4 linked regions of the Astyanax mexicanus genome follow. The protein of the gene in region 1 interacts with the protein of each later gene in a pairwise test. Links are inferred from orthologs where the notes say so. Each region holds a gene or a part of one and is shown in the gene's direction. Other genes may lie near its edges.

Region 1 (7,085 bases):
GTTAATTCTGAGCCTGCAATCTGATTGGCTGAGAGGTGTTCTGTGCGTGCCTTTATCAGCCAGTAATGCACTGTAAGAATTTTTTTGTTAATATCGCACAGCCCTACTGTCTTCCTTATTGATTCCATCCTTAACCTAATAAAAAAAAAAAAACACCCCAGACATTTAGGAACCTAACCTGAAGCGCTACAATCCTTTGGTACACATCCTCCCTCATGCTCATCTCCACATCAAACTCCGACAGCTTCTTATCTGCATCGGTGCTGGCCGTGCGCACGTCCTTAGAAGACGACACATGCTGAGGGAAATCCAGCATGTTCCGCTGGACTGGAAAAGAGCCAGAGATGATGCGATGTTACAGGTTATAAATAATGGCTTCAGACTAATGCTAAGAAATCAGTTTAATACCTCATATTACTTTTTATAGGGCATTATTATATTGTAAAGACTAATGTGGCACTAACTGAAGCATTAATGAAAACACATAATTCAAAACACATCATGACAATACTTCTGTATTAGGGGAAAAAGGACTGAATAAAAAGGTAATAACACTTTGCCATAACATTTTATTTGATTTATTTTTTTTGTCAACAGAAAACCTACACAAGATAGGTGCCTTGCAGTGCTTCCACTCTGCACACTAAACAATGGCAAACACTATTGTTGTGCATGTGTCAGTCAGCCAGTCTTTATGTAAAAAAGTGCTGAACGGTGTGTACCATTGCATACGGCTTCCCTGCTGACTCAGCCTTTTTATTTTTTGTTTCACAATAGTGATAACTGAAACCTGGTCACTTTGTTATAAATTAGGGCTCGTTGTGTGAAACAATCTGTGCTTAAATCTTGTGAAGATGTCAGAAAAGTTGAGGACTCATCCTCAGTATATAGATCTAACCAGATTAAGTAGAAATACATTTGCATTCATGTGTCTATTCTGGTATTTTAAATACCAGTAAGTATTACAGTAAGTATTAAATGCATTAGAAGCTCCAACCACAATCACAAACCATGAAGTATTACCTGTGTAGTCCACCTCCACATCAGCAAGGGCTTTCAGAGTGTTCTCATAGGTTACAGCATCTAGATCCAAGGATCCTACAGAGTCATAGACTTGCTTGGTCTTTGCAATAAGCTCATCCGTAAGCTGATGGATCTGCTCTGGAGTGAGGTCCCAGCGCAAACGATTGTCAGCACAAACTCCATCTCCACCGCCAAACACTACTTCACCTGAAGCAGAAAGTTTCTCTCATGTGTTTCAAATATCAGAAGAGATGAGCTTTTAAGGCATTAGGTTTCAAATGTATGTTTTGGGATATAATACCCATATCGTATTGTACCAAACCAAAAGAAAAGAAAGAACCCCACACCCACAAAAAACATACTAAACTGCAGATCCCTCATACATTACACAATAACTATAGTTTATTTATTAGTATAGCAACCTAAAAGAATAAATATATTTTGATACAATTTTTGGTACATCACCCAGCCCTATCATGTATTATTACTTCCAAGACATATCTATTAGTACAACATACTTGTACAACATATTTGCCCAACTTTACTTGTTGTAATCTTTTTGGATCTCTGTAGTTAAAATGACAGAATCGTTTAATTTATCAATTAATATATATGTATATATTTTTTTTTCGTCGTTTTGTCACAGAATAGGGCTGGACGATATGGCAAAAAATATATCACTGTATATTTCTTAGTTTTGGGCTAAACGATAAACCATTGTACAGTTGATGCGGAGTTCTTTGAGTACCAATGATATCGTTGATATGTGAGAAAATGTTAATATATTGTCCAGATTGTTTGCAGAACAGCAAGGGCTAAAAAGCAAAGTAAGTTACTAAAATGTCTAACAAAGCCAGAATATTTTATCTGTATAACTTAGCTGTTTATCTTATCTTATGGTTATATGGAAAATTCTCAAGCATTGCTGAGAGCTGAGTTTGTTCAGCTAGCTTAGCTAACATATGTCTGTCAGCTTGTCTAGTAACGTTAATGCTCCGTTTAGAATGACGCCCTGAATTTGTAATCAGTTCGATATAAAGCTAACCCTAAAAAAGGTAGTTTACATACAGCTTAAAAAACACAATAAACACCAGCGCAAACCTGCATGTCACTGAACCATAGGGGAAATAATATTAACCTACACGTGTTCCTGGTATTAATGGAAGCTAAAGTGACGGCGCTTAGCTAACCTATCAAACCAGCAGGCTAACTACGGTTAGCTACACAGCTAGCTGTCCGGCTCAGTACAAGTGCATATACACAGAAGGCTAACTGTAGCTAGCCGGCAAGCTAACATAACGGCATTACAACACAAGAACCTGCGCAGCTAGCTAGCTATTGTTTTCATAACCGGCAAACGGCTGTATGTGTGAACACTACAGCAGTGAGTAGCCGCCACCGTGCTCGTAAAAACAGAGTAATGGCGGTGTTTCTAAATTAAACATTACAGTTTATGTTCACTGTTAATCCAGCTCAGTACTTTACACCCCATATACCCAGCGCTGCTCTAACCTACTGAATCGTAGAGCTGCATTCAGACCCCTGTTCATCATTCAGTTAACTATTAGCAGAAAGTACTGAACTAAAGAGAGGAAAGTAACTAAAAAGTGATAGTCAAACATCTACCTGACTTTTCTAATATAACCTAGATTACCTGTAGGTGCCATTTTTCCACGCGTTTCTCTGAATCAATGCTCGCTGCTCCACCGCCCGCCCGTGATAGCTCTTCCCTGTGAGGTGGTATCCTCCCGCCCATTTCGCACTCATTGATTGGGTCTGAGAGTTGTCAATCAACAAAACCCCGCCCAATCCTCTTCTGCTCAGTGATAGTACACAAAAAAATTTAAGAATGATAAGAATGACTTTTAAACGAAATACATACATTTAATGTGGGAAAAGAGAGTTTGAATTGGAATTATGTGAAATATTTACAGACTATTTTGCATGTATTTATAAGAATTAACACAAAAACAGAATCATGTTTAATACAGCATTTAAACTTTCTTTGAAATATTGCTTCATAAATTAATAAATTAGCTAATGCTCGTTTGTTTAGAATTAGTTTCTTGCAGAATAAAATAATCTGTAAAAAATAACTGAGTTTAGTAAAGAATATTGATATAACACACTAACTAACACTTATTTCACAAAACACATATCTTAAATTAACTAAGAATTGTCTATTTTAGTAAAAATGTCTCATATAACTAATAATTAATTAATTAATTAATTAATTAATTAATTATTTGATCAATTTAGCTATGGTTGTTTTACAGTGTCATGGACATTAAAGATATTATCTTCTAAATGCATAAATAAATTATCTAACTAATTATGAAGTTTTTGTGACAATATTATACAATAAATAAATAATAAATTACTAATTTATGATTACTTACAATTAGTGGGAAATTATTTATTTGAATGAGGCATGAATAGTTCTGATTATATTAAAATTAGCTGTAAATAATTTATACAACCTTTAACCTTTATTTTCACTCAAGAATACATTGATGGCAACCATAATTTTTTAGTGAACTTCTAACATTTTAATTATAAAAACAATAAACATTAAATGGCAAAGGCATTATAAAAACAAACAATAATGATTTAAGTAAGAATAATCTAAATTATTCAGAACAAAAAGATAAGTTGACAGGCTAAAATGTAAAGAGGAAAAAAAGAGAGAAATAAAAAGAATGAGCAAAAATAAAAAGAAGACTAAAATATGTAAGTAATTAAAAATAACAATACGATTATAAAGAAAGTAAACGGTACAGATAAAATAGGTATAATGAAACAAGGGGTTAGTGTAGATTATATATATTTATGAGTGCATATATTATTTCTTTACCTTAGTAATTAGTTATGTTCCCAATACATTTGTTCATAAAATGAATTCCCATTTTAATGCAGCCCATACTGGGGAGGATGTTTTAATCATAGACATGAATACGTGTTCACGTCTATTGTTTTAATGATGATAGTATTTTATTTTTATCATATGTTTAGCGACATTATAGCTACGTCAGTACGTTTTACGCTGGTTTTACGCACGGAGGGGTGAGTTTACGTATTACGCAGCGTACGCCAGACTGAGAGCGCAGCGAGGAAAATCCCTGCAGTGGGACAGTCAGTAAGTATAAAAAGATTTGAGAAAAGGTCTGGGTGTGATTCTCGGGAGTGTAGCTGAGTGACACAATGTAGGCCGTCTTTACCTCTTTACCTGGTTTATGAGCGGGGCAGATTTTAAAAGCTGTTTGCTGTTATTGAGAGTTGAGCTGCCTTTACTCTGAACGAAACGAGCTAATGCTAATGCTAGCTAGCAAACAATGTTAGTGAGCTGGATATCGAGGTAGCCCTTGCGGGTTAGCTTAGTTAGCTTAGCTAGCTGCGTTACGCACGGTTAGACAGCGTGTAGCCGGTAGTTGCTGATATAATAAACACATGTATTCCTGTTTACACTGTTAGAGTGTAATGATTTTAGCGCTGTGAGCAGCTGAGGGGGTTAAATTGATAGCTAGTTAGCTGTTGAGGACACATCATCAGACTAGCTAACCTAGCCAGCTGTTGCTAGAAGATTCCGGGTCATATGTTCATATGAAGTCATTTCACTAGAGACAGCAGCAGAACAATCTGCTGTATTAAAGAACTGAACGATTCGGCTGCGTTAGGCAAGTGTGTTAACCTACTTGGACAGATACTGTTACTTAGTTAGATAGTTAGGTAACTATGTATATGTGCGAGGTTAGCTAACGTTAGTTAAGACACAAGCAATCATCTTGATGATCTCGTGCTTGCATGGATGGTACTCCTAGCAGTACAGTGACCTCAGTGTAATTAGTCATTGTAATTAAAGTAATGTTAACTGAAATGTGTCATTATTAGGAGATTGGAAAAAATATAGTATAAATCACCAGAATTATGTAATGATTTATGTTAAGGGGTCAACCAGTTCCTAAATTATTGAAAACCTAAACTTATGATGTGAATCTTACTGCAGACCTTATTTACCCATGACAATTTGCCAAATTTCTCTCACCAAAGGCATTATTACCTGTCCGGTTCCTAGAGTTTTTACTGAACTGGGAAATCTGCTTTTAGCTACAGTGCAGCACCCGAGAGCTGGAATGTACTACCTGAAATTCTAAACTGAGTCACTAAATAATTTTAAACTAGTAGTCTCTAGCCACCTTCAGTCAGCCTGTAACTGCTTTTAGTTGAGTTTTTTTTTTGCCTTTTAATTTATTTAATTTTGTCTTTATTTATCATTTTTTTAGCCTTTTTATTTATTTGATTCATTTAATCCTTTTGTTTGTTTTATTACTGGTTTTACTTGTGACCTTTTACCATTTTATTTAGTTTATTTTGTCCTTTTATTTTTTATACTTTTTTTTATAAACTTATTATTTATTTTAGTTCTGTCATTTACCTTATAATTTGGGTGTTATTTTACTCCTCTATTTCTTTAAATGTGTTTGTCTTTTATTATTCTTATATTTTTTATTGCCTTTACATTTTATCCTTTTATTCTGAAATTATTTCTTCTTAATTAATCTTATATTGTTTGCTTGTTTTAATAATTTAAAACACAGGAATTTCCACTGGTGGTAAAAAAAATAAAAAAAATAAATAAAGACATCTTAAAAAATTAAAACGAAATGTAGTGAAAATGTGTCCAAAAAATTGGGCAGTAAAAATCATATTAGGCTGGGTTTTTTTTTTTCATCAAAAAAAGAAACAAGACCAGTTTGATTTAATTTATTTTCAGGTCTTACTAAATTCCAGCTCTGATGTATCTTGCACTGTATGGAAATTGGTGATCCCACCTGTCGTGATGCTAATTTAGAGCCGTTTTTCACGACGTGTAAAATTGTGACTTAACGCAGATAACAAACATAAAGACAAAAATACCACCAAAAACAACACACAAATTTACAGTGGTGGAAAAAAATAAACAAAAATGAAGGTAAGCTAAATGTATTGAAAAATAATACAGATTACCCAATACCCTACTAATAATGCAACACACTTTATAAAATATTGGACAATAAAATCATTTATGTTGGGCAGGTGTTTTATGTCAGGCAGCAAAATAGAAACATGACCTGAACATGAAAGAATTTAAACAATATATTATGCACACTCCAAACTTGCACTGTATTTATTCTTTTGGAATAAATATTATTTTTGTGCTGATATGATGCACCAGTTGCTGGCTTGGGTGTTAACAGATTTTATCACTTCCAGAGAAGAGCATTGTCAATAGAACAAAACCCACTGGAGGATCTCCGAATGTGCCTTAGATCATGTTTAGTAATTATAAATTTGAGTATGGTCACTTTAGGCAGTTCACAGTCAAAGCTTTCAATTTTACTGAACTTTACTTTTTGAGATGATGTTATTCTGCTAAACATATGCCCACATGTTCTTATATTTCAGATTTCCTCAGAAGTAATTGGAGAGAGCTTTTTCTCCAGCCAAAATGACAGACACAAAACGTCTCGCTTTCTCCATTATCCAGTTTCTCCATGACCAGCTCAGGTCTGGGGAATTGTCGTCAGATGCTCAAGAAAGTTTAGAAGGTAAATACTGATGCAGTTCTGAATGAATGGTTACTAAGCTTATATTTGTTTATGGTTTTGAATTAAAACACTGATATGATTGATCACTAAAACTGCTTTCCAGTTGCCATCCAGTGTCTGGAGACAGCATTCAGTGTCTCAGTGGAGGACCAGAGTTTAGAAGTTACTGAAACTTTGCCAGAATTATTTGCAAAAGCCACTCCAAAGGTAGCAGTCTATATTCTCTTTAATATTGCTGTTCAGATACAGAGTATTGGTATTATTTATGATTTGAGAATTGTAAATAAAGACTGTGTGTATCTATGACAGGTAAAAAACACACCTGAAGTTAAAGTCAACTCTACCAGTAATCCCCTAACAGAGGATCAGATAGCAGAGGCAGAAAGACTTAAGAGTGATGGTATGTATATAATGTGTGTTTGTTTTGATATTCACAAAAAATACTGGATTAAATTAGTCCCTTCTAAATTGGTTATT
Region 2 (7,516 bases), on another chromosome or scaffold:
CTATGTTAATTCATGTATGTACTCTTGAGCCCCCACCTGACATCATACCAAATCATACTAAAATGCTGTATCTGTATATATCAGAGTATTATTTTTACTTCACCACTGTACTTAAGTACTAAACTAAAAAAGTTATATCTTATCTAATTATTAATTGACACTAGTTATGACATTAAACATTGCTAAACTTTAATTAATTAGAATGCTGTAAATAATAATTAATTAAGACAACAGATAACAAAAGTTAAAGGTTAATGGTGTCTTAACTTATATTCTGAACTTGGTATACATACTGTTAATTAATGAATCCTTAGGGTAAAGTGTTACTCCATAACTTATGACTTATGGCAGTGTATTTATCAAGGGTCAGGATCAAAGTGCATCTGTGTAACTATAATATCATGATATTGTGATTCTACGATACTCTGTGTACCGTAATTATCACAATACTTTATGATACTTCACAGCAACTGTGTTACAGAAGAGAATAAAACACTCCTAAACAAATAATAGGAATTATAGATTTATTGGTGTCAGTTTCACAGTATTTCATAACACATATTTCTTTTTTACCACAGGTTTACTATTCCTTTGATTAGCGCCACCATGTGAAGTAATGAGGCAGGAACTTTAGTAAGTCAAATTGGGGGCGAGTAATAGGGAGTTTAGAGCACCTCGGTTTCAAATACGAATATGAGACAAAAGAGCAACATTTCAGCTTTTATTTTCAGGTATTTACTGGATCTTGATCTGATACACAGTTCAGAAGATTAAGCACCTTCTGTCTGAATCCACCCATAAGTATTGGAACAGACAAACCTAAAGTAAATTAAAGTGAAAAAAAAACAAACTTCATATTTAGTTGCAAATCCCTTACTTGCAATAACTGCATCAAGCCTGTGACCCACTGATGTCACTAACCTTATGGAAAATAGCTTTTTTTTCTGCTGTAGGTTTAAAATATTTGGGTTTGACATTAAAAAATTATGAGACAAAAAAAGCATCTGTACTTTTGTTCATAAAGTCTTCTGTGAACAGTATATTGATCTGCAGTCCTGCTCTCTGGGGGTTGTTGCTGATTTGACTAAAAGTTGTTACATTACATTACATTACATTTGGCAGACGCTTTTGTCCAAAGTGACTTACAATAGTGAAGTACAAAAGTAATAGAAGTTAAAGGTAAAACATCTTTAGATAGGGCTTAAAGGAGGTCGAAGGGAAATAAGGGGATAGAGAAGTGAAGGAGGGGAAGAAGGAAATGAGGTTAGAAAAGGTAGTGTATTAGAGGTGTTAAGAGAGTTGTTTTAGGTTTCCATTTCATTTTGTAAAATTGCTGAATCAGGATCAGTTACGATTTACTGAATTCTATGGAGAGGTGATATTAGATACCTACAGTACTTTTACTCCAAAATGCTTTTATAAATGAGGCCCAGTGTTTCTGTCATCAACTGCTGTGTTATTTCTTGGTCTTCTCAACATCTGTTACTTAGTACACCAGTGACGACTTTCTTCTTCAGGACATTCCAAACTGTTGTACTGGCTATGCCGAATATTTACAAATTGGCTCTGAATGATTTTCCATCTTCCCTCAGCTTCACAGTTGCTTGATTTTTACCCAGATGCTCAGTCTGCACAGATAAAACCCAAATCTGAAACTGAATGTAGACATTCAGCACTATTTATTGTTTGAATAATCAATGTATCAGGACACACCTGGTCAACAAAACACACCTAACACATCTGACTTACTCACAAGTTCCAATACTTTTGCTCATAAGGAAAATAGCAGGGTTTAGACAGAAGGTGCTATCTTCTGAACTGTGCATCAGATTCAGATGTAAATACCTGGAACTAAAAGCTGAAATATTGATATTTGTCTCATTTCCATCGTTTAATGTCTACATTAGAAATAGGAGATTGGTCTCGCTGTTTTAATACTTTTGTAGGGTATTGTTTTTGGGATGTATTGAAGTGGAATCAGTACCTGAGCTTACTCATGCATACTCTCTGGGTCAAATGCAATCAATTCCTGCTTACAGCAATGTTCTTAGTGTAAATATTTCCCAGTCAATTAGAGGCTGTTACTGCAGCAAAGTGGAAATATCACTTCATTTCAGGAGGAACAGATGAATGCTGGAGGATCTGGGCGTCCGGATACTTTTGGACAGGTAGTGAACAGCACTGAAAAGTGTTTAGTCAAACTGGAGCTTTGTTACATCTCACAAGTCATGAGAGTGTAAACTCACAAGGAGTGTCCCAGGAGACCCCAGACTGCGGCTTTAGGCAAATGAACAGGGTTCTGAAAACACACCCGAAGCTCTGCAGCACACTCACTCTGCTCACTCCGCTCACTCCTCTCACTTCTATGGCTACTTAAGGTAGGTGTTTACCTGTACGCTCTCCCAGGCCGACAGACGTGCACTCTCCTGTGCATTCACTATCCTCTACAGGTGGATACACAGGTGGTGTTACTCTCAAGGCCTTGTCTTTTTAAAATTCTTCTTTATTATTATTATTTTTATTACTAATAACATTGCTGTTACCAATTGTGCAGAATGACCTTCCAGGCAAATATCACTCAAACATCATTACAACGTGTTTCTGTATATTTTTTATGAACTGCTGTTAGACTATAACTACTGAATACTCAGTACTAAATACTAAATAGTTGACTACTGTCTAATAAATACTGAAAACTAAATACTGATTACTGACTACTGACAATTGTATACTGACTACAGACTAATGAATACTGACTACTGAATACTGGTTATTGACAACAGACTAATGAATACTTACTACTGAATACTAAATGCTTATTATTGCCCACTACTAAATACCGATTATTAAACACTGCAGAATGAATATTGAATACAAAATACTGGCTAATATATACTTACTACAGACTAATGAATACTGGCAATACTAAATACTGATTATTGACCACTTTCTAATGAATACTGACTACTGAATACTGGTTATTGACAACAGACTAATGAATACTTACTACTAAATACAAAATACTGGCTAATATATACTGACTACAGACTAATGAATACTTACTACTAAATAATAAATACTTATTATTGACCACTACTAAATACCGATTATTGACCACTGCCGAATGAATATTGAATACAAAATACTGGCTAATATATACTGACTACAGACTAATAAATACTGGCAATACTAAATACTGATTAGTGACTGCTTTCTAATGAATACTGACTACTGAATGCTAAATACTGATTACTGACTACTGCCTAATGAATACTGAATACTAATTACTGACTGTTGATGATTATATGCTGACTACAGGCTAATGAACACTGACTACTGAATACTAAATACTGATAATCGACCACTGCCTAATGAATACTTACAACTAAATACTAAATACTGATTATTGACTACAGGCTGATGAATATTTACTACTGAATGCTAAATACTGATTATTTACCACTGGCAAATGGATACTGAATACTAAGCACTATTTCTGACTCCTGGCTAATATATTACTGACTACAGACTAATGAATATTGACAATACCAAATACTGATTATTGACTACAGCCGGATGTATACTAACTACTGACTAGTGAATACTGATTATTGACAGCAAACTAATGAATAATGAATAATAAATACTGATTATTGACTACTGAGGATTATATACAGACTACAGACTAATGAATACTGACTACTGAATACTAAATACTGATTATTGACTACATACTGATTAATACTGACTACAGACCAATAAATACTGACAACAGCATACTATATACTGATTATACAGTACTGACTAATGAATATTTACTTAAATATAATAATATACAAAATAAAAACTGGTTATTGACTACTGAATACTGACTACAGAATACAGACTAATACATACTGATGGCTGAATACTAAATACTGATTATAAACTACTGACTAATTAATGAAAACTGTCTACTGATTAACGTAATCATAGTGCAATAAATACTTAAGGATAACTATTGAATATTGATTTTGAAAACTGACAACTGACTAATACATTTTGACTACTGAAAACTGATTATTGCCTACTGACTAATTCTTATGGTATACTAATTAATGTAATAATAGCTTAATGAATGCTGACTGATGACTCATGAATATTGACTTGTAAAAAGTGACAACTGACTTATAAAATACTGAGAATTGGCTAGTATTAACTACTGACCACTGATTTCAATACTAACACTCTAACACTGATTACTTGCCAATATTTTACTGGCTGCAGAATACTGCTTACTGGCTGAATAACAACTAGGGCATCATTCATCAGTATTTTGTTGTAGAGAATTGATTATCAGCAGTTTTAGTCAGTAATCAATTAATTGATCAATTAATCAATACTGAATAACTACTATTTACTGACTATGGACAACAGACTCCGATTCAGTTTTCAGTGTGTTCTGAAGTGGTTAAGCGTTGTGTAAGTGTGTCAGTAGTGTGTTTAGTAAAGATTAAAGGTATGTGTGCAGGTGTGAGTATGGTGAGGAGCGATGGCAGGAACCTGTGCTGGAGGACAGTACTTGGACCGCCTGCTAAAACAGTGCATGCCCTGTCAGCTGGTGTGTGATAACCCTGACCCCCCCACTCGCTGCCTAGACTTCTGTGGTGAGTAACACACTGCTAACAACTCAGAGGCAGAACCAATCAGAATCTTTATTTCAGCTGGGGGTGAGACAACAAGAGCCAAACTCAGAGACATAACCAATCAGAATCTCTATTTCAGTTGGGGGTGAGACAACAGAGAGTCAAACTTAAAGGCAGAACCAATCAAAATCTGTATTTCAGTTGGGGGTGAGACAATAGAGAGCCAAACTCAGAGGCAGAACCAATTTAGAATCTCTATTTCAGTTGGAGGTGGGACAACAAGAGCCAAACTCAGAGACATAACCAATCAGAATCTCTATTTCAGTTGGGGGTGAGACAATAGAGAGTCAAACTCAAAGGCAGAACCAATCAGAATCTTTATTTCAGTTTGGGGTGAGACAAAAGAGAGCCAAACTTAAAGGCAGAACCAATCAGAATCTTTATTTCAGTTTGGGGTGAGACAAAAGAGTGCCAAACTTAAAGGCAGAACCAATCAGAATCTCTATTTCAGTTGGGGGTGAGACAACAGAGAGTCAAACTTAAAGGCAGAACCAATCAAAATCTGTATTTCAGTTGGGGGTGAGACAATAGAGAGCCAAACTCAGAGGCAGAACCAATTTAGAATCTCTATTTCAGTTGGAGGTGGGACAACAAGAGCCAAACTCAGAGACATAACCAATCAGAATCTCTATTTCAGTTGGGGGTGAGACAATAGAGAGTCAAACTCAAAGGCAGAACCAATCAGAATCTTTATTTCAGTTTGGGGTGAGACAAAAGAGAGCCAAACTCAGAGGCAGAACCAATTTAGAATCTCTATTTCAGTTGGAGGTGGGACAACAAGAGCCAAACTCAGAGACATAACCAATCAGAATCTCTATTTCAGCTGGGGGTGGAAGAAAAGAGAGCCAAACTTAAAGGCAGACCCAATCAAAATCTCTATTTCAGTTGGGGATTAGACAATAAAGAGTCAAACTCAGAGGCAGAAACAATCAGAATCTCTATTTTAGTTGTGGGTGAGACAATAGAGAGTCAAACTCAGTGGCAGGACCAATCAGAATCTTTATGTTAGCTGAGGGTGGTACAAAAAAGATCTCAACTCAAAAGCAGAACCAATTAGAATCTCTATTTTCAGCTGGCAGTGGGACAACAGAGAGTCAAACCCAGAGGCAGAAGCAATTAGAATCTCTATTTTCAGCTGGCAGTGGGACAACAGAGAGTCAAACCCAGAGGCAGAACCAATCAGAATCTCTATTTTCGCTAAGGGCGGGACAACAAAGAGTCAAACCCAGAGGCAGAACCAATCAGAGTCTCTATTTCTGCTAGGGGTGAGACAATAAAGAGTCAAACACAGAGGCAGAACCAATCAGAATCTCTATTTTCGCTAAGGGCGGGACAACAAAGAGTCAAACCCAGAGGCAGAACCAATCAGAATCTCTATTTTCGCTAAGGGCGGGACAACAAAGAGTCAAACCCAGAGGCAGAACCAATCAGTATCTTTATTTCCACTAGGAGTGGGACAAAACAAAGAGTCAAACTAAGAGGCAGATCCAATCAGAATCTCTATTTCAGCTGGGGTTGGGACAACAGAGAGTCAAACTTAGAGGCAGAGGTAGAACAATGTTGTTCCCTTCTATTCAGTACTTGGATTAAACTGGTGATGTAGATCATTTGTAATTAAACTGATGAAGATCTGATTTTGTGATCAGTCTCATTACAGCTCTTCTGACTGTCTGTTTACAGTGGCCTTCAGCTGTAAGGCTGTATCTGGGCAGTTCTACGACCAGCTGCTGAAGAAATGCTTGAAATGTTCGGAGCTGTGTGGCCACCACCCCTCAGAGTGCTCACAAGAGTGTCCGAGTAAGTACACAGCGGCCGTGTCCCAAATTCACTCTATGGGCCCTCATCAAGTCAAGTCAAGTAGTTTTAAAGTCAGAAAAAATGAATATTGAATACAAAATACTGGCCTGTATTTACTGACCAATAAATACTGGCAATACTAAATACTGATTATTGACCACTTTTAAATGAATACTGACTACTGAATGCTAAATACTGATTACTGACTAATAAATACTGAATACTAATTACTGACTACTGACGATTATATGCTGACTACAGGCTAATGAACACTGACTGCTGAATATTAAATACTGATTATTGACCACTGCCTAATGAATACTTACCACTAAATACTAAATACTGATTATTGACTACTGCCTAATGAATACTGAATACTAATTACTCACTGTTGATGATTATATGCTAACTACAGACTAATGAACACTGAATACTGAATATTAAATACTGATTATTGACCACTGCCTAATGAATACTTACAACTAAATACTAAATACTGATTATTGACTACTGCCTAACGAATACTGAATACTAATTACTGACTATTGACGATTATTTGCTGACTACAGGCTAATGAACACTGACTACTGAATATTAAATACTGATTACTGACCACTGCCTAATAAATACTTACAACTAAATCCTAAATACTGATTATTGACTACTGACTAATAAATACAGACTACTGAATATTAAATAGTGATTATTGACTACAGACTGATGAATATTTGCTACTGAATGCTAAATACTGATTATTTACCACTGCCAAACTAAACTAAACTAAAAATGGACAAAAATGCAGATACTTGTTTTTTATTGGACAGTGACGATATGTACAGGACATACAGAGGATTGAAATCATGTTACTCTTCTTCCCAAAAGTTACAACAAGTACAGCAAGATAAAATATAAATATAAAAGAACACAATACACTAAATGTACAATACAACAAGGCCACAGATATATACATACTTAAGACAAGAGACACAAGATAATAGTGCAATAGTGAGGGGGATCATTGTAAATGGGACCAA
Region 3 (7,430 bases), on another chromosome or scaffold:
TTAACAGACCATTATTAAGTATTAAACCGGGCATGTTAACGCAGGAAAAGCACTAAAATGTGCAAGCCAGTGACCCTCAAGAACCAGGGTTAATAAACACTGTTTTACTTACTGTCTCCATAATGAACCATGTTTGTATTAGAGATAATAGAGATACTTTATAAGTAAAAAACAACAAATGCTGGTTCTTTAAAGCATTAAGGTTCTTAATACTTTATACTTATTCCTATCTTTAATACAATTATTGGGCCTCATTCACGAACATCTGCCAAAGAATGTTCTTAGTTTGTTCTTGGGAAACGTCACTGCAAAATTGTTCAGAGCTTTACTCTTGATAAATCAATGAATTGGGTTTTAGAAGAAATTTCATCTTCAATTCCTAAAAATCCTGTATTCATAGTACACTATAAACATATTAGGATCATACGTTTTTTAAACATGTGGACCCAAGACAAACTGCAAGCTGTAGGTCTTAAATTCTGTGAAGTCACTGTAGGCTCCCTGCCCACACCAGGCCATGTATCACATAGTTATATGAAGTGGTAAAGCTGGAGACAAACAAGCAACAGAGCAGTGTTGCATAAAGGCTCTTCGCTGAACCCAAACTGCGGTTTAGTTTAATAGATTTTCCAAAGCAGCCTTGGTCGGTTGCCATGGATAAGATGAGTCCTCCTCCAGCTAAAGGGAGTTCCCATGTGCATCTGAAATGTGAATCAGGTGGGCGTACCACTGGGGTCTGAATCTGTGGTTCCATATTTTTCCATTCACTCCATATGGAATGTAGCAAACTCAGTGGAGGAGGTGGGCAGTGATGACTGCAGATGCTAAAATTAGCCTAATGGCTTCATGAATGGAGACCGAATGAGATAAACTCATATGCACATGCCTTATACATGTTGCAAATGACAAATAGACCAGAAAATAATTACTTTCTGTGACATTGTTGTGGGATTCTAGTAATATAAAAACTGAGACAAACAATTAGACGCTAATGAAACACCAACATGTAATAGACCATGACCTCATACCTTCGTAATTATATTGGCTCTGTTTTGTCACTTGAGTGTCTAGTCTCTCCTAAGTGTTCTGTCATCATGCTGGCAGACTTTTTATAAACAGAGATTCCAATAAAAGTGGGACACGTTTACTGAAGTTACTAAACCTCTTTAATCTAAGAGTAAAATTAGTGCTGTTCCAACACTACAGTGTGTCACCATGCCCTCCATACAGTACACATACAGTTTTACTCTTACAAAAAGTTTTTTAAAAAAAGAGCTCATTAAAGTAAATCTCCTGAAGATCCGTATTTGATACCCTAATAAATCTTCCAGCACGTGGTTACAATTCGATAAAAGGGAGAAGAGCTGAATAAATATATTCATAAGCTATATATAATAAAAAAAAACTACCTATATTGCTTGTGTCAGCACCCTGGTTGCTGCGTATAATATGGCAATTGGACCATATTGCTTGTGTCAACACTGTGATTGTCAATTATAATATGTTAATTGGACTGTATAGCTTGATTGCTGATTATAATACAGCAATCGGTCTGCACCACTTGTGCCAATACCCGGCTGCTGAGTATAATACAGCAATCTATCAGAGGAGCTTGTCTCAAACAACGGTTCCTGTGTATAATACAACTGTTGGCTCAAGAAGCTTGTGCCAAAACCCCGGTTGTTGTGCATAATACGATGAGTGCCTCTTTTTACAACTCGCTGGATGCTGTGTATAAACTGCAGCCCTTGACTTGACTACCTGGTTTATCTTTTGGGCAAATCTGGTACCTGATACCTGAAAGTTAGTGCTTTTACTCCTGCATGCTTGTGGTTTCAAGCGAGCTGAGTAGGGACTAAACTGTGATATATTAAAAAAATATGTGTGCTGATTTGGCCAGAGAGAACATTCACTCTAAACTGCGCAATGCAGATATCTAGCAGCACAAAATTTCCAAGCAACATTAGCAATCACATTTGTTTTTATCTGTCTCGCAATGGCAGTTTGTAAAATTATGCTGTTATCTTTAGAAAAGGATAAAAATATATATTTGGATTGGTGGCTGACATAATTATACATTGAGAGTTGCGAAAAACATTGCAGGGGGAGGTGTGTTAAAGGAAAATTAACCAGAAACCAGGTACCAAAAAGCAAAAAAGTAGATAACCACCACATGATAGTCCAGTAGATAACCACCACATGATGTAACTTCAATGTATACTGTTCTACAGTGCATAGCAAAATCTAACTAGTATATATGGCACAGGAAAAAAAAAAACATGTTGGTTTTCTAATAACTCAAAAGTGTATGAATCTTAAAAAGCTGTGTGAACATTTAAGACATTCAATTTAAGGAGATTTAAGATTTAAAGAAACCATCACATCACGTAAATGTTCTAAAATATTTTAAAGTTGATTTATAAAACTGTTAGGACTGTTAAAGGAAGCTTTTTGGTAATGTTTATGGTACAATCCTTAAAATATTGATGAAAAATCAATTCCAAATTAGTATCTTTCATTAAACAATGAAAAATAATAGCTTAAAAAGTCTTTATTTTAATGTAATGTTTCCTTTATACATTTTATCTTCTTTCTGCATCTTCAGGTACAGACATATCGAGTCATATGAGGCATGTTGATATCATCGTATCATAGCCGGCTGGTGTAAATGTGAAACACAGCCGCTCTCCCTCTTTTATATTCCTCCTTTTACTCTCGTCTCTCTGTCGCCAGACGCTCAGTCATCTGTAGAACTTGGGGCATGCAGCTCAGTCCGTGAGCATGCCCCATGGAATGCTGGATCTGTAGTTCCAAATATGGCAGTGTGATGTGTCATTTTCACCAGAGGGGCCCACTGGTGAATTTTGGCTTTGACTGATGTTCTTGATTAGGCCACATAAGAAGAAAGGATTTTGGTTGTGTTTCCTTTCAGGTCCTCTTCTCATTAGGGGTTCCGGGTTCATGCCTCTAATGAGCAAGCCAAGGATGAGACATTGGAAAACTCAACCAGAGCCAAAAAAAGAAGAGTCAAAGGGAGAAGCCATCCTCCTATTGTCAGAAACAGATAACACAAGAGGAGCAGGTGGAGTTAAGATAAGTATTATTCTATAAATGTCACAGACAGATTAATATGGAAATAACCAGTTGGTCAATTGCTAATTTTAGAAGCATATTAGAGGTTATTTAAAAAAATAGAGTTTAAATGAATGATATTTGTAAGATCTGTGCCCTCTTTAATGTGTTTAAGAGCATCAGTTGTAAAGTTGTGAAGAGGCAAACAGTTGGTATACAGTGAATGATGCTATTTAAGTAATGTTCCAATCCATATTATGGCAGGAACTACTCAACTAAGAAAACAAAAAATCCTTTAAAAAATATTCCAAGAACTCCAAAAGTACCCTCAAGTGCAGTCGCAAAGACTATCAAAAACATTATGATGAAACTGGCCCTCATCAGGACAGCCCCAGGAAGGTAAGACCAAGAGTTACCTCTGTTTTACAGGATAAGTTAACATCATGCCAGAAAAGAGCACCTAAATGGTTCACAGAGTATTTTGGTTCGTTTAACACTTTTAAGTTACTAAATGATTCCTCATGTGTTCCTTCATAGTCTGAATGACTTCAGTATTCATTTACAATGTTGGAAAAAGAAGGTGTGTCCAAACCTTTAACTGGTACTGTATAAACAAATGTAAAGTGTAATAAAAAATAAAATAATAAAAATATATTAGTAGTAATAAAAAATAAAAATTAAAGAATGTGTAAAAATAAACATATTTAAAATAATTGTACAATTTCTATATGAATTTGGCAATGGTCAGTGCCTTTTTAAACAAGTTATGTATGATATAGTTTGATGTGGTTTAAGTAGTCAACTCAGAAAGTATGAGTGGTGTATGCATCACTACATAAACAAAAAATATCCAAACCAACAGCACCCTATGGACAGAGTAGACCTAGATCATTAATATCCCCCACTTTGTTTAGACAGAGCATTTCATTGTTATTATAAAACTCTGCATTTTTATTAAAACCAGACCCATCTATTTTCACTAGTCTCGCACTGGGGCACTGAGGCTATATTAGTGTGTAGTGTAACACAGTGCGTGGGTGAGTGAGTGGGTTTGTAATTTAATTAGCAAACACTCTCAGAGCGTTCACTGAGTCTAAACTGCTGCCAAATCCTGTCAAAGTCAGCAGCGGAGCTCCCTGGGGGGAACAGCATGACTCGGTTTAGTTGAGTCTGTTGAAGAAGAGAGAAAATCGTGTTTGAGTGTGAGTGTGTGTGTGTGTGTGTGTGTGTGTGTGTGTGTCTGTGTGAAACAGAGCGCAGGAGTAGGGGTGGCTCAGGCTGGAAAAGCAGACAGAGATGACTTCATAACTTCCGTTCCGCATTTAGGGGGAGGGGTTCTGGGTCCTGAGTTCTTTAAAAAGAGAAGAGAGGCAATTGCTCGTTCAGTCCATGCTGGATAGGCACAAGGAGAAGGCACATCTACAAGCTTAGATCCACTGAGACTACTACTTCCAGACTTTCAGGTATGGGTTATGGTTTGCTTGCACTTTTTGGACAAAAGTTGTTTTTTTTAGGCTTGATTTTCATTGTGTAGAAAATGTTATATGGGGATAATTGTGTTGTCAAACTTGTAGAGTAAAATCTTTTCTTGTATTTTTTATTTTTGAACTTTGTCTTGTAGTTTTATATTCAAGTCACCTTAAAATTAAAAATCCAAATTTAGGCTACAGATCAAGGACTTATGTTTTAGAGCTAGGGGTACTGTATTGGCTTTGTCAAGAGATTACCTCCACTAAAATTTCTTCAAAAAGTATTGTGACAATAGTTGACGCAGTTGTTGTTGACTCCATGTAGACTTTCCATATAAAAAGCCACTTGAGTTTAAGGCTATTTAACTTGCCATGTTAAAATATGCCAGTGTATTGCAACTGATTTTATAATATAGATATATAATAATGTACAAAATCTTGGTTTTACAAAGCTTGGTAATTGTCGGAATAGGTCACGTAGCTAGGTGTGTTCATTTTAGCGGATTCGTGAATAGACCTGCAGAGAGATGGAAAGGTGACTCAAGGTAAGCATTTAGGAACAGCAGCACTGAATTTACATTGTGGGTGTTTAAGTACATAGAGAAGAATACGTGCCTTTCAGACACACTTATGAGCTCCTTCAGGTCTGTCTGAGTGTGATGGCTACTGGCGTCAACCACTTTTGGTTGTGAGGGAGTTTAATAGCTTAAAACGGTGATTGTAGCAGATGCCAAGGACAGGATTAAAGGACAGGAAGCGCCACATTAGATATGGGTGAATTATGCTGTTGATTCCAGTACAGCTTAAGGCACTAAATATAGTGTAGTAGTACCACATGTTCATTCATTCATTCATTTACTCATTGTGGTTCATTTATTCATGAATTAACTGATTAATTCAGCATGTTACTCAAACAGTATGTCTAGATTTCATATTCTTATCCATTCTCTCCTTATGCAGAATGCAGACACTCTGTGTACTGATGACCCTTGCCTTTTATGGGTCAGCGATGGGCACCTTCCTGCAGAAGCAGCAGACGGATTTTGGACTGCGGCTGTTCTCAGAAGCTGCTCACTCCCATCAAGATGAAAACTTTGCCATGTCACCCTACGGCATCTCCTCCGTGATGGGAATGGTCCAGCTGGGAGCTTATGGCAGCACTCTAAAGACACTCAAAGAGCACATGGGCTATTCTCTGCAAGGTAAGAATGGAGGGAAAATTGTTTTTATGCACCAAATAAATGGATTTTCCCTGATTCCAATCCAAGAATTATATAGAAACCTATAATTTCTGTACTTTCTCCAGATCGTGGAATGCCACGACAACAGAGGCTTCTTCACAGAGACCTGTCCAGTGAACACGGAGTGGAGGTGGCTAGTGGCGTCATGGTGGACAGAAAGCTGATGTTGGAGAAGCCCTTCCGACGCAGCCTTACAAAAGCATTTCAGAGTGTCCCTCACCAGGTGGACTTTAGCAAGCCAAAGACTGCCCAGCAGGTCATCAACGCCTGGACGTCAGACAGAACCGGAGGTGTGTGTGTGCTTTTTTTTTCCTTTTGTGTGAGACTGTGTATGTGTTTGTGCAATTATAAATGATAATGAATTTAGATAATTTTTTTATAATGTGTTTTTTGATGTTATTTGTCAATTGTAATTAAATTGAAACCAGCCTTTCATTTTTCAGAGTGTGATGATTAACTCTACCTTATTAGAATCTTTTGTTTGTCTTGTTTTTATGATTAAATGGTTCCGTTTGAAAGATTATGTCAGAGTACACTGTGTACATGTGGAGATCTCACGTGCTACTGAACAAGTCCTGAACTCTGCCCTCTCTCTTCTCTCAGGCATGATTCCAAACTTCCTGCCGTCCGGACTTCTGAGTCAGCAGACTCGCTTGGTGCTGTTAAACGCGCTTCACTTTCACGGCCTCTGGATGACACCCTTCGACCCCAGCCTGACCATGGAGATGATGTTCCATGGTCCTAATGGTAGCACACTGCCAGTGCCAATGATGAGAACCACCAATAAATTTAACTACGGTGAGAATGTAATGGAATTAGTGTAATGTAATGTTTTGGGTGTGACCAATTAAATTGGCTTATTTTAAGGTTTCATGAATTTACTTGCAGAATTCCTGTTGATCCTTATAATGCTGTTTATTTTTTTTCATAATGAAACTTAAATTCTAATTTAGTCAGAAAATCTTTGTTTATCAAAACAATTGCAGTGTAATTTTTTTGGCCAAAAACATTATTTAAGCTAATATTTTATATCAGTCCAGCCTTAGTAATGATTATTGGATGAATGAATGAATGAATGATTAAGAAATACATTGATATATAAGCTCTAATATTTATACAGCTATTGCCATTGTTTTAAATATTGCCTGTCTCATCCTCCAGGTGAGTTTGTGACGAAGGAAGGTGTTGATTACGATGTTATTGAGGTACCCTATGAAGGAGACTCAATGAGCATGCTCCTGGTGTCTTCATTCGAAAAGGACATGCCGCTGTCTGCCCTCATCAAAGAGCTGAGTGGCAGCAAGGTCCAGGAGTGGAGAAAGAACATAAAGAAGGTCAACCGCCAGCTGGTGCTGCCCAGGTAAAGAGAATAAAACCTTTATTTTACTGACATTTACTATTTTTTGGATTCTGATTGTTAATTCTGATTATTTAGAGTCTAATACAAGTTTGCGTCAATGTTATGTCCAGGTTTTCCATTGACACAGAAGTCGATTTGAAGTCAACACTGAGCAAACTGGGGCTTGGAGACATCTTCAGCCAGTCCAAGGCAGATTTCTCACGCATTACTAGTAAGTATATGCAAGTACACATATTTTATGTCTATAAAGACCTCTGGAGTTGTTGAGAGTGAATGGAATAAAGTATT
Region 4 (7,054 bases), on another chromosome or scaffold:
ATGCTTCTCGCCCAGCAAGCTAAGCAGCTGGGCATAGATGCCAGCAGCCTGCCTGAGCCCAGCCTGCCTCTGAAGCGAGATGTGCTGCTCAGCAAAGAGTACTTCCGCAGCCAGGAGGAGAAACGGAAACTGGAGGGAACTCCAGTCTAGTACCACACCAAGTTTGTAAAATTAGAAACTAAAGGACATTGGCTGTTTGAACATCCCTTCTCCCCCCTTTTTTTTAAAGAAGGATTTGATGACCTGTGTAAAATATTCTGTACTGTATGTGCTACTATGATGTGTTGCTTATTGCAATATTTATGAATAAAAACAACATACCCACTAAACCTATGTCTGAACTGCTACAACTAAATTCCTTTTTTTTTTTTCTTTTCTTTTTTTTTTTTTTTAGATTTTTTTATTTATTTATCTACATATTAAAGCATTAGTGTTTCAACAATGACAAAACAAACAAAAGGTACACCGGATATACATACACATATACATATATGACCAGGAATCTGTCTAAACTGAATAAAAGTAAAAAGAAAGAAAAGATAAAACAATGAGTCTGTCTTCTAGATGGCGTGAATATATATACAGTGGTATGAAAAAGTTTGCGCATCCCTGATAATTTTAAAGAGTTTCCTTTATAAATCATCGTTGTTTGGATCAGCAATTTCAGTTACATATATCATATAACAGACAAACACAGGGATATTTGAGAGGTTAAGTAAAGTTTATAGGATTTACAGAGAGTGTATAAATGTTTTTTTTTTAAGAAAATTAGGCAGGCGCTATATTTAATGGAAATTGACTCGAACAACCAATAATTTATAAAGGAAAATCATGAAAATGAAAACTTTTTCATACCACTGTATATACATATGTTTATACACACATGAGCTTTAAAGTTGGCTTAAAATGAATATATATATATTGACAATAAACAAATTTAATGTACTGATTATAACTGTCCTGGTAGGAAATTAAAGAACAGATGCCGTATTGTCTTGAACCAACTACTCCAAGTACAAGAGCCTGTTCATGTCTTGATCATAGACTGTATACATACAGTATCAGTCAAAAGTTTGGACACAACTCTTCTGATTCATGTTTTTCTTTCTTTCTTTCTTTTCTATGTTGTTGATTAATATTAAACACATGAAAACAAGCTCCAGCTGAGAAAATTATTCCAGGTGACCCTACCTCATGAAGACACTGAAATTAAAATACCAAGAGTGTGCAGAGCTCTGTTCTCAAAGCTAAATGTGGTACTTAGAAGAATCTAAAGTAGACTTTAATATAAAATTCCCAATGTAGAAAGTCATAAAAAGAAAGAAAACATTGAATGAGAAGAGATGTGTCCAAACGTTTGACTGTACATACAGTCTGTGGTCTTCATGCACTGCAGTCAAAGGCAGTGAGTGAGCAAAGGAGTAGAGGTCGTTCACGCGCTCGTTTGCGCACGCGCTTTTCGCGGCGTTAGTGCGCGTGCTCAGGCGCGCCCTCTTCTTTCTCCCCAAAAACTCGTGGGACAGGCGGGACAGCCGGCGAGCTGGACTCAGCAGAACCATGATCTGCCTTTTCTTAAGCCTGTTCGCCTACATGTTTAAAACAGGTGAGTGATTTCTGAAGAGCCCCATAACACCGGATTCACACAGTAGTGTCTCAGCCTTTAGCCTCAGACTGCTTTAATTAACACGGGTAAATTTAAGAGTCTGAGTTAGCTAAGCTGGCTAACTGGCAGGGTAATTAGTTACTGTGGAAAATGTGAGTGCTAGCTGGTGCTGTGGAGTTTGTCTTTATGCGTATTTAACTCAGGGTTATAATAATAAACGTGTCCTGTTTAAAGTGTGCATGCGGTGTAACTTACTGCCTTCTTTTCTACGACCGTCGCTAATGTATTCCGAGCACTAGCTAACCTAACCTAGGCTGCTAAATAGCGTGTTGAAAAATTAGGCAAATAAAGCTGACTTGAGTTACAAAGATCCCATAACAAGTACACTAAAATCACCTCTCGCCAGTGTCTCAGGTGAGAAGTTGACATTAGTTACATTTATCGACATGTTTGTCAAAGTTCTGTGAACACTGTGGTAGTTTTAGTTAGGTTAGCTAGCATAAACAAAAGAAAATTCCACTATTGGTCCCTATGTTAAAGAATCAGTTCAGCAAACTCAACAAAACCTTCCATCTCTAAATGTCAGTTTGAGGGAATCGGTTCAGTGTAGTGAATCTTTTTTTCTCCTTTTTTGTCTCTGCAGTTCAGTTTCAAAGAAATAGGTTCAGTAAAGTAGTTCAAGGATTCAAGGTGATTTTATTGTCATTTTACATCACGCGTGGTACATGAAGTTGAACGAATTATAACAATATAATTGTGATATCGATATGAACAGTATAAAAGCTACCACCCTAGGTGTACATAATCACTGATAGAGCTGGGCTATATGGGAAAATATTGTATTGCAGAATTGAAATATAATCTTATGATACACAGTATCTATCGTGTTTTTACCTGAAAAAAAATCTATGCATGATGCTCTTCACCTCCATCACTCACAAACACAGAGCTTTGCGGCCTTACACCTTCTAGTGCAGCAGTAGGATGTTGTTTTTTATTTTATTTTAAGTGGCATGCCAGAGGATGGATCTGCTCAAATAGGCTTCTATGTAAAAATTGGGGCTTTTCAAAGATAAGACAAAACAGATTTAGTACTCAAGCTGAGAACTATGATGCATATATAAATTATCACCGCCCTGGTAACCGTCTTGTCCTCTCTCCATGTACTTGATAACATGTTTACATTTATGCACACGTGCACACATTTTTGATATCGGTTTGGTTTCACAAATGTTTTTTTATTATCTCTGCAGTTCAGTTTCGAAGAATCGGTTCAATAATGCGATTCTAAGGTCTTCTCACAACAGCTTGGGGTTTGCAACTAAAATTATACCATGATACTAGCATAGTACTTGTATAAAATGATTGACTTGATAAGTGAATGTTAAAAAAGCCAATGAACCCTTATTGTCTATTAATAGGTGAAACATACCAGTCCTGCTTAAATTTTTCATAAACATTTCTCAATCTTTAAAAAAAGATTGTTTTATTGCTTTCATGTACTTTTGTACGCAGACACATCACACTATTCAGATCAGATCATCAATAATACCGCCTCCTGCTGACGTCCAACCATCTGCTTATCAGAGAAGCACTGATACTGCTGCAGCTCAGCCAATCAGCTCTCCCTCCTGCCCTGCTTCTAAACCCATACATCACCCAGTTCCGTTCCTAAAATCCCCCTCCCATTTTTTAGCCTTTTTTAAAAGGTGGACTCAGCAAAAATCAGGGGGTTTAGTGCCTATTTAAACCTCCCATCTCTTTGTTGTTCCATGTTGCACCATGTTCCAGAGAAACATAATTTCCTTGCACTGTGTACCTGTACTTAGATGTAATGACAATGAAAGCTATTTGACTTAACTTGACTTGAAAGAATCAGATTAATTTCATGCATCTTTTTTTTTCTTTAATATCTGCAGTTCAGCTTAAAAGAATCGGTTCATTAATGTGATTCTAAGGTCACAACTGCTAAAATTATACCATGATATTAGCATGTTTGTGTCTTGTATAGAAAAGTGATACATGATTGACTTGATTGAAAATTAACTACATTTATAAACGTTTTTTTTCTTCGAAATACTGTGAATGTTTTGATTTTTTAAGGAATGTTAAGGAAACTAATGCCTTAAACTTATTTCATATTACTCTCATTGTGTTTTGTTTTTATTAAAGAATCGGTTCGTTGAACTTTAGTATAACTTACCAAATCTTACAAAAAATCAGTTTGAAGGAATCGGTTTGTTTGTGTGAATCGAATTGTAATCGCTGTAGTTCAGTTTGAAAGAATCGGTTCATCTATCTTGATTCGAGCTCCTCATCACTAGAGTTCAGTGGCCGTTAGCAGGTGAATCGCCTCTGCCTGTTTCTGTGTAAACCCTATTATTAGCGCCGTTTTTCTGATTGGTTGCCGAGTGTTCATCCCCCGGCGTTCCCTCACCTGATTGGTTGGTCTGTGTGTCGGACTGAACGCGCGAGGCGGCTGCACGCAGCATGGGCTCCAAAAGGTCACTTACAGACTCTGCAGATATTCTGGATTTAGGTGCGAAAATCGCCCGAATCACTGAATCAGGTACAGCAGAAAGGAGGCGTTTAATTTCTGAGTAGTTTAACGTTAATGAATAACCTAACCGTACCGAGTTTCACTGGCTGAGATTCCCGGTTCAGGGCGGGTCTTGCTGTTGTTATGAAGCCATCTGTTCAGCGGGTCTCTGAGCCTCAGTGTAATAGGTTTATAGTTTGGTATTAGCTTATTAAGAGTGTTGACTGCTTTGCCTAAGGTCCGTTTAAACGTGTCTGTATACAGCATGCAGTCCTGTATTTATGGAAACCTGAAAAATATAAGGATTCAAAAATTCATAATTAAATTTGAGAATGTTTAAAGTCAGATTAGTGCAATCTTTATTATTAATAAATGGATTTCTGGACAGTGGAATGGCTGATTTTTAACTGTTCTGAGTTTTCACTTCCACAACTAGAAGCAAACTAAACTAAATGTCTAGATTTAAACTAAACTGTATCATCCAAAATCCTCTTGAACCATGTTGTAATTATTTGCAGTTTTTACTTTTTTCCATACAATAAAAAGGCATTACTGTAAATGTTTATTTTTTTACTAATTTTATCATTATGACACACAATCGTGTATTTAGCAATGCATTTAATATACAGCTCTGGAAGAAATTAAGATACCATGTCAGTTTCTCTGATTTTGCTATTTATAAGGTATATGTTTAAGTAAAATTAACATTGTTTTATTCTATCAACTACTGACAACATTTCTCCCAAATTCCAAATAAAAATATTGTCATTTAGAGCAGATGCAGAGTTAGATATCAATATTTGGTGGGATAACCCTGGTTTTTAATCACTGTTTTCATGCATCTTGGTATGTTCTCCTCCACTAGTCTTGCACACTGCTTTTGGATAACTTTATGCCACTCCTGGTGCAGAAATTCAAGCAGTTTAGCTTGGATTGATGGCTTGTGATCTTCCTCTTGACTATAGTACAAAAGTTTTTCAATTTGGTAAAATCAAAGAAACTCATCATTTTTAAGCGTTCTTATTTTTTTTCCAGATCTGTAGTTAAAATATTAAACACAATTGACTATATGTCAATTGTGTTTAATATTTTAACTACAGATCTGGAAAAAAAATATATATATATATATATATATATATATATATATATATAAAATACATTTTTCCTAACTGCCTGTCATTTCCTGTGTGCTTATGTAAATGCTTTGCAGGATGGACGGGGGTAAATGAGAGAACCTTCCTCGCAGTGAAGCCGGATGGTGTTCAGAGGAAGCTAGTGGGAGAGATAATCCGCCGCTTTGAAAGAAAGGGCTTCAAACTGGTCGGCATGAAACTCCTGCAGGTAAAGGAAAGCTTGAAACTAATTAAAAAAAGGTTTGAGTGGCTTCCCTTTCTGTATTGTGACATTGCAGCTGCTTAACATTGCAGTCTGCATCAGTGACATAAACATAATTTCCTATGTCATACATTTTTTATTTATTTATTTTTGAACAGGCTTCTGAAGAACAGTTGATGGAGCACTACTGGGACTTGAGGGAAAGGCCGTTCTACAAAGGTCTAGTCAAATACATGAGCTCTGGACCCATTGTAGCTATGGTAAGATACAGATACTTCACCTGATTATCAAATTGCATCCTGTCTTATACTGTTACATATTCTAAGATATATATATATATATATATATATATATATATATATATATATATATATATATATATATATATATATATATATACTGTATGTCTATCTGTGTGTTTGTTCGCAAGGTTTGGCAAGGCCTTGATGTGGTAAGAATGTCCAGAAGGATGCTTGGAGAGACAAATCCTGCTGACTCCCTTCCAGGAACCATCAGAGGGGATTTCTGTGTAGAAGTGGGAAGGTTTGTGAGATGCTCCTAATTATGTTAAAATAACTGATTCATCAATTAAAATTAAGATTAATTCATTCTGAAAGCAAAATGCATCACAATGCATGTTTTAAAAGTACTTTTTGACATTCTCATTTACACATTCTCACCAAGGAGATCTTAAATTTCCTCAAACTTAGGTACTTTGACTTTAAAGATCACTGTTTGACTGCACATTTCCTTGTAAAGAGCCTAAATAGTCGTTTAAATGAACAAAGTGCATTTAATAGATGTAATAGAATCTTAATAGCAGCCTGGTGATTTTTACCTGTGTAGACAAATTGTCACAACAGGACTAATATAGGACATGTGGACCTGCAGCTGAAGGTATGCTAATACTGATGGCACAAATAACTGCTATGTATCTGTGGTGTTGCAGGAACGTTATTCATGGCAGTGATTCGGTGGAGAGCGCTCAGAGAGAAATCTCCCTGTGGTTCAAAGACTACGAGCTGTTCTGCTGGGACGAGAGCACTGATCACTGGATCTACGCGTGATACCCTTCACTTTCATCATTCACAAACACATACAGAGCTTTGCGGCCTTACACCTTCTAGTGCAGCAGTAGAAAGTTATTTTGTTGAAGTGGCATGCCAGAAGATCTATGTGAAGTTTTAGGCTTTTCAAAGATAAGATAAACACTGATTTAGTACTCATGCTGAGAACTGTGGTACGTAACCACTGAGATATATAAAAAATGATCACCGTCCTCTTAACACGTCCTCTCTCCATGTACTTGATAACATGTTTACATTTCTGTGCACACGTGCACACATTTTTGATATTTTCATTAATGCACATAAACGAGCAATATGTATGTTGATATATTTGTATGCTGTTACTTTATATGTTGCTGTCATGCAAAAACCTTGTATATCCTAAATGGCAGCTTTACAGGAGAAATTATTTCAAGTAATTTAGGCTCATTTCACTTGGTCCATTTCTCATAAATGAGCATTCATCATTTGATTCAATTAAAGAATAAAAAACTTAACATTATGGAAATG

Evidence for each region.
Region 2: the proteins of sgta (region 1) and tumor necrosis factor receptor superfamily member 13B interact in binary tests that used the Homo sapiens proteins (3 or more experiments, as listed by UniProt). The two-hybrid records come from large-scale screens. The link is inferred for Astyanax mexicanus from reciprocal best matches to the Homo sapiens genes SGTA and TNFRSF13B.
Region 3: the proteins of sgta (region 1) and serpine1 interact in binary tests that used the Homo sapiens proteins (3 or more experiments, as listed by UniProt). The two-hybrid records come from large-scale screens. The link is inferred for Astyanax mexicanus from reciprocal best matches to the Homo sapiens genes SGTA and SERPINE1.
Region 4: the proteins of sgta (region 1) and nme3 interact in binary tests that used the Homo sapiens proteins (3 or more experiments, as listed by UniProt). The two-hybrid records come from large-scale screens. The link is inferred for Astyanax mexicanus from reciprocal best matches to the Homo sapiens genes SGTA and NME3.

Annotation. Positions count from the first base shown.
Region 1 is NC_064423.1:18,691,541-18,698,625, reverse strand, and holds the start of sgta (small glutamine-rich tetratricopeptide repeat-containing protein alpha), read left to right. Parts: upstream 1-4,059; 5' UTR 4,060-4,159; intron 4,160-4,207; exon of another isoform or gene 4,208-4,226; intron 4,227-6,465; 5' UTR 6,466-6,508; coding exon 6,509-6,608; intron 6,609-6,711; coding exon 6,712-6,815; intron 6,816-6,917; coding exon 6,918-7,008; intron 7,009-7,085. Other genes in the region: thop1 (thimet oligopeptidase), read right to left, coding at 179-327, 1,024-1,230, 2,678-2,690. UniProt on the Homo sapiens protein: Co-chaperone that binds misfolded and hydrophobic patches-containing client proteins in the cytosol. Mediates their targeting to the endoplasmic reticulum but also regulates their sorting to the proteasome when targeting fails.
Region 2 is NC_064422.1:7,890,385-7,897,900, reverse strand, and holds the start of tumor necrosis factor receptor superfamily member 13B, read left to right. Parts: upstream 1-4,514; 5' UTR 4,515-4,531; coding exon 4,532-4,646; intron 4,647-6,365; coding exon 6,366-6,482; intron 6,483-7,516. UniProt on the Homo sapiens protein: Receptor for TNFSF13/APRIL and TNFSF13B/TALL1/BAFF/BLYS that binds both ligands with similar high affinity. Mediates calcineurin-dependent activation of NF-AT, as well as activation of NF-kappa-B and AP-1.
Region 3 is NC_064415.1:25,930,222-25,937,651, reverse strand, and holds the start of serpine1 (plasminogen activator inhibitor 1), read left to right. Parts: upstream 1-4,429; 5' UTR 4,430-4,535; intron 4,536-5,501; 5' UTR 5,502-5,502; coding exon 5,503-5,743; intron 5,744-5,847; coding exon 5,848-6,072; intron 6,073-6,385; coding exon 6,386-6,580; intron 6,581-6,943; coding exon 6,944-7,142; intron 7,143-7,252; coding exon 7,253-7,353; intron 7,354-7,430. UniProt on the Homo sapiens protein: Serine protease inhibitor. Inhibits TMPRSS7. Is a primary inhibitor of tissue-type plasminogen activator (PLAT) and urokinase-type plasminogen activator (PLAU).
Region 4 is NC_064426.1:27,534,999-27,542,052, forward strand, and holds the start of nme3 (nucleoside diphosphate kinase 3), read left to right. Parts: upstream 1-4,052; 5' UTR 4,053-4,093; coding exon 4,094-4,172; intron 4,173-5,352; coding exon 5,353-5,483; intron 5,484-5,635; coding exon 5,636-5,737; intron 5,738-5,907; coding exon 5,908-6,020; intron 6,021-6,426; coding exon 6,427-6,544; 3' UTR 6,545-7,054. Other genes in the region: mrps34 (28S ribosomal protein S34, mitochondrial), read left to right, coding at 1-150. UniProt on the Homo sapiens protein: Catalyzes the phosphorylation of ribonucleosides and deoxyribonucleoside diphosphates, other than ATP, into the corresponding triphosphates with ATP as the major phosphate donor.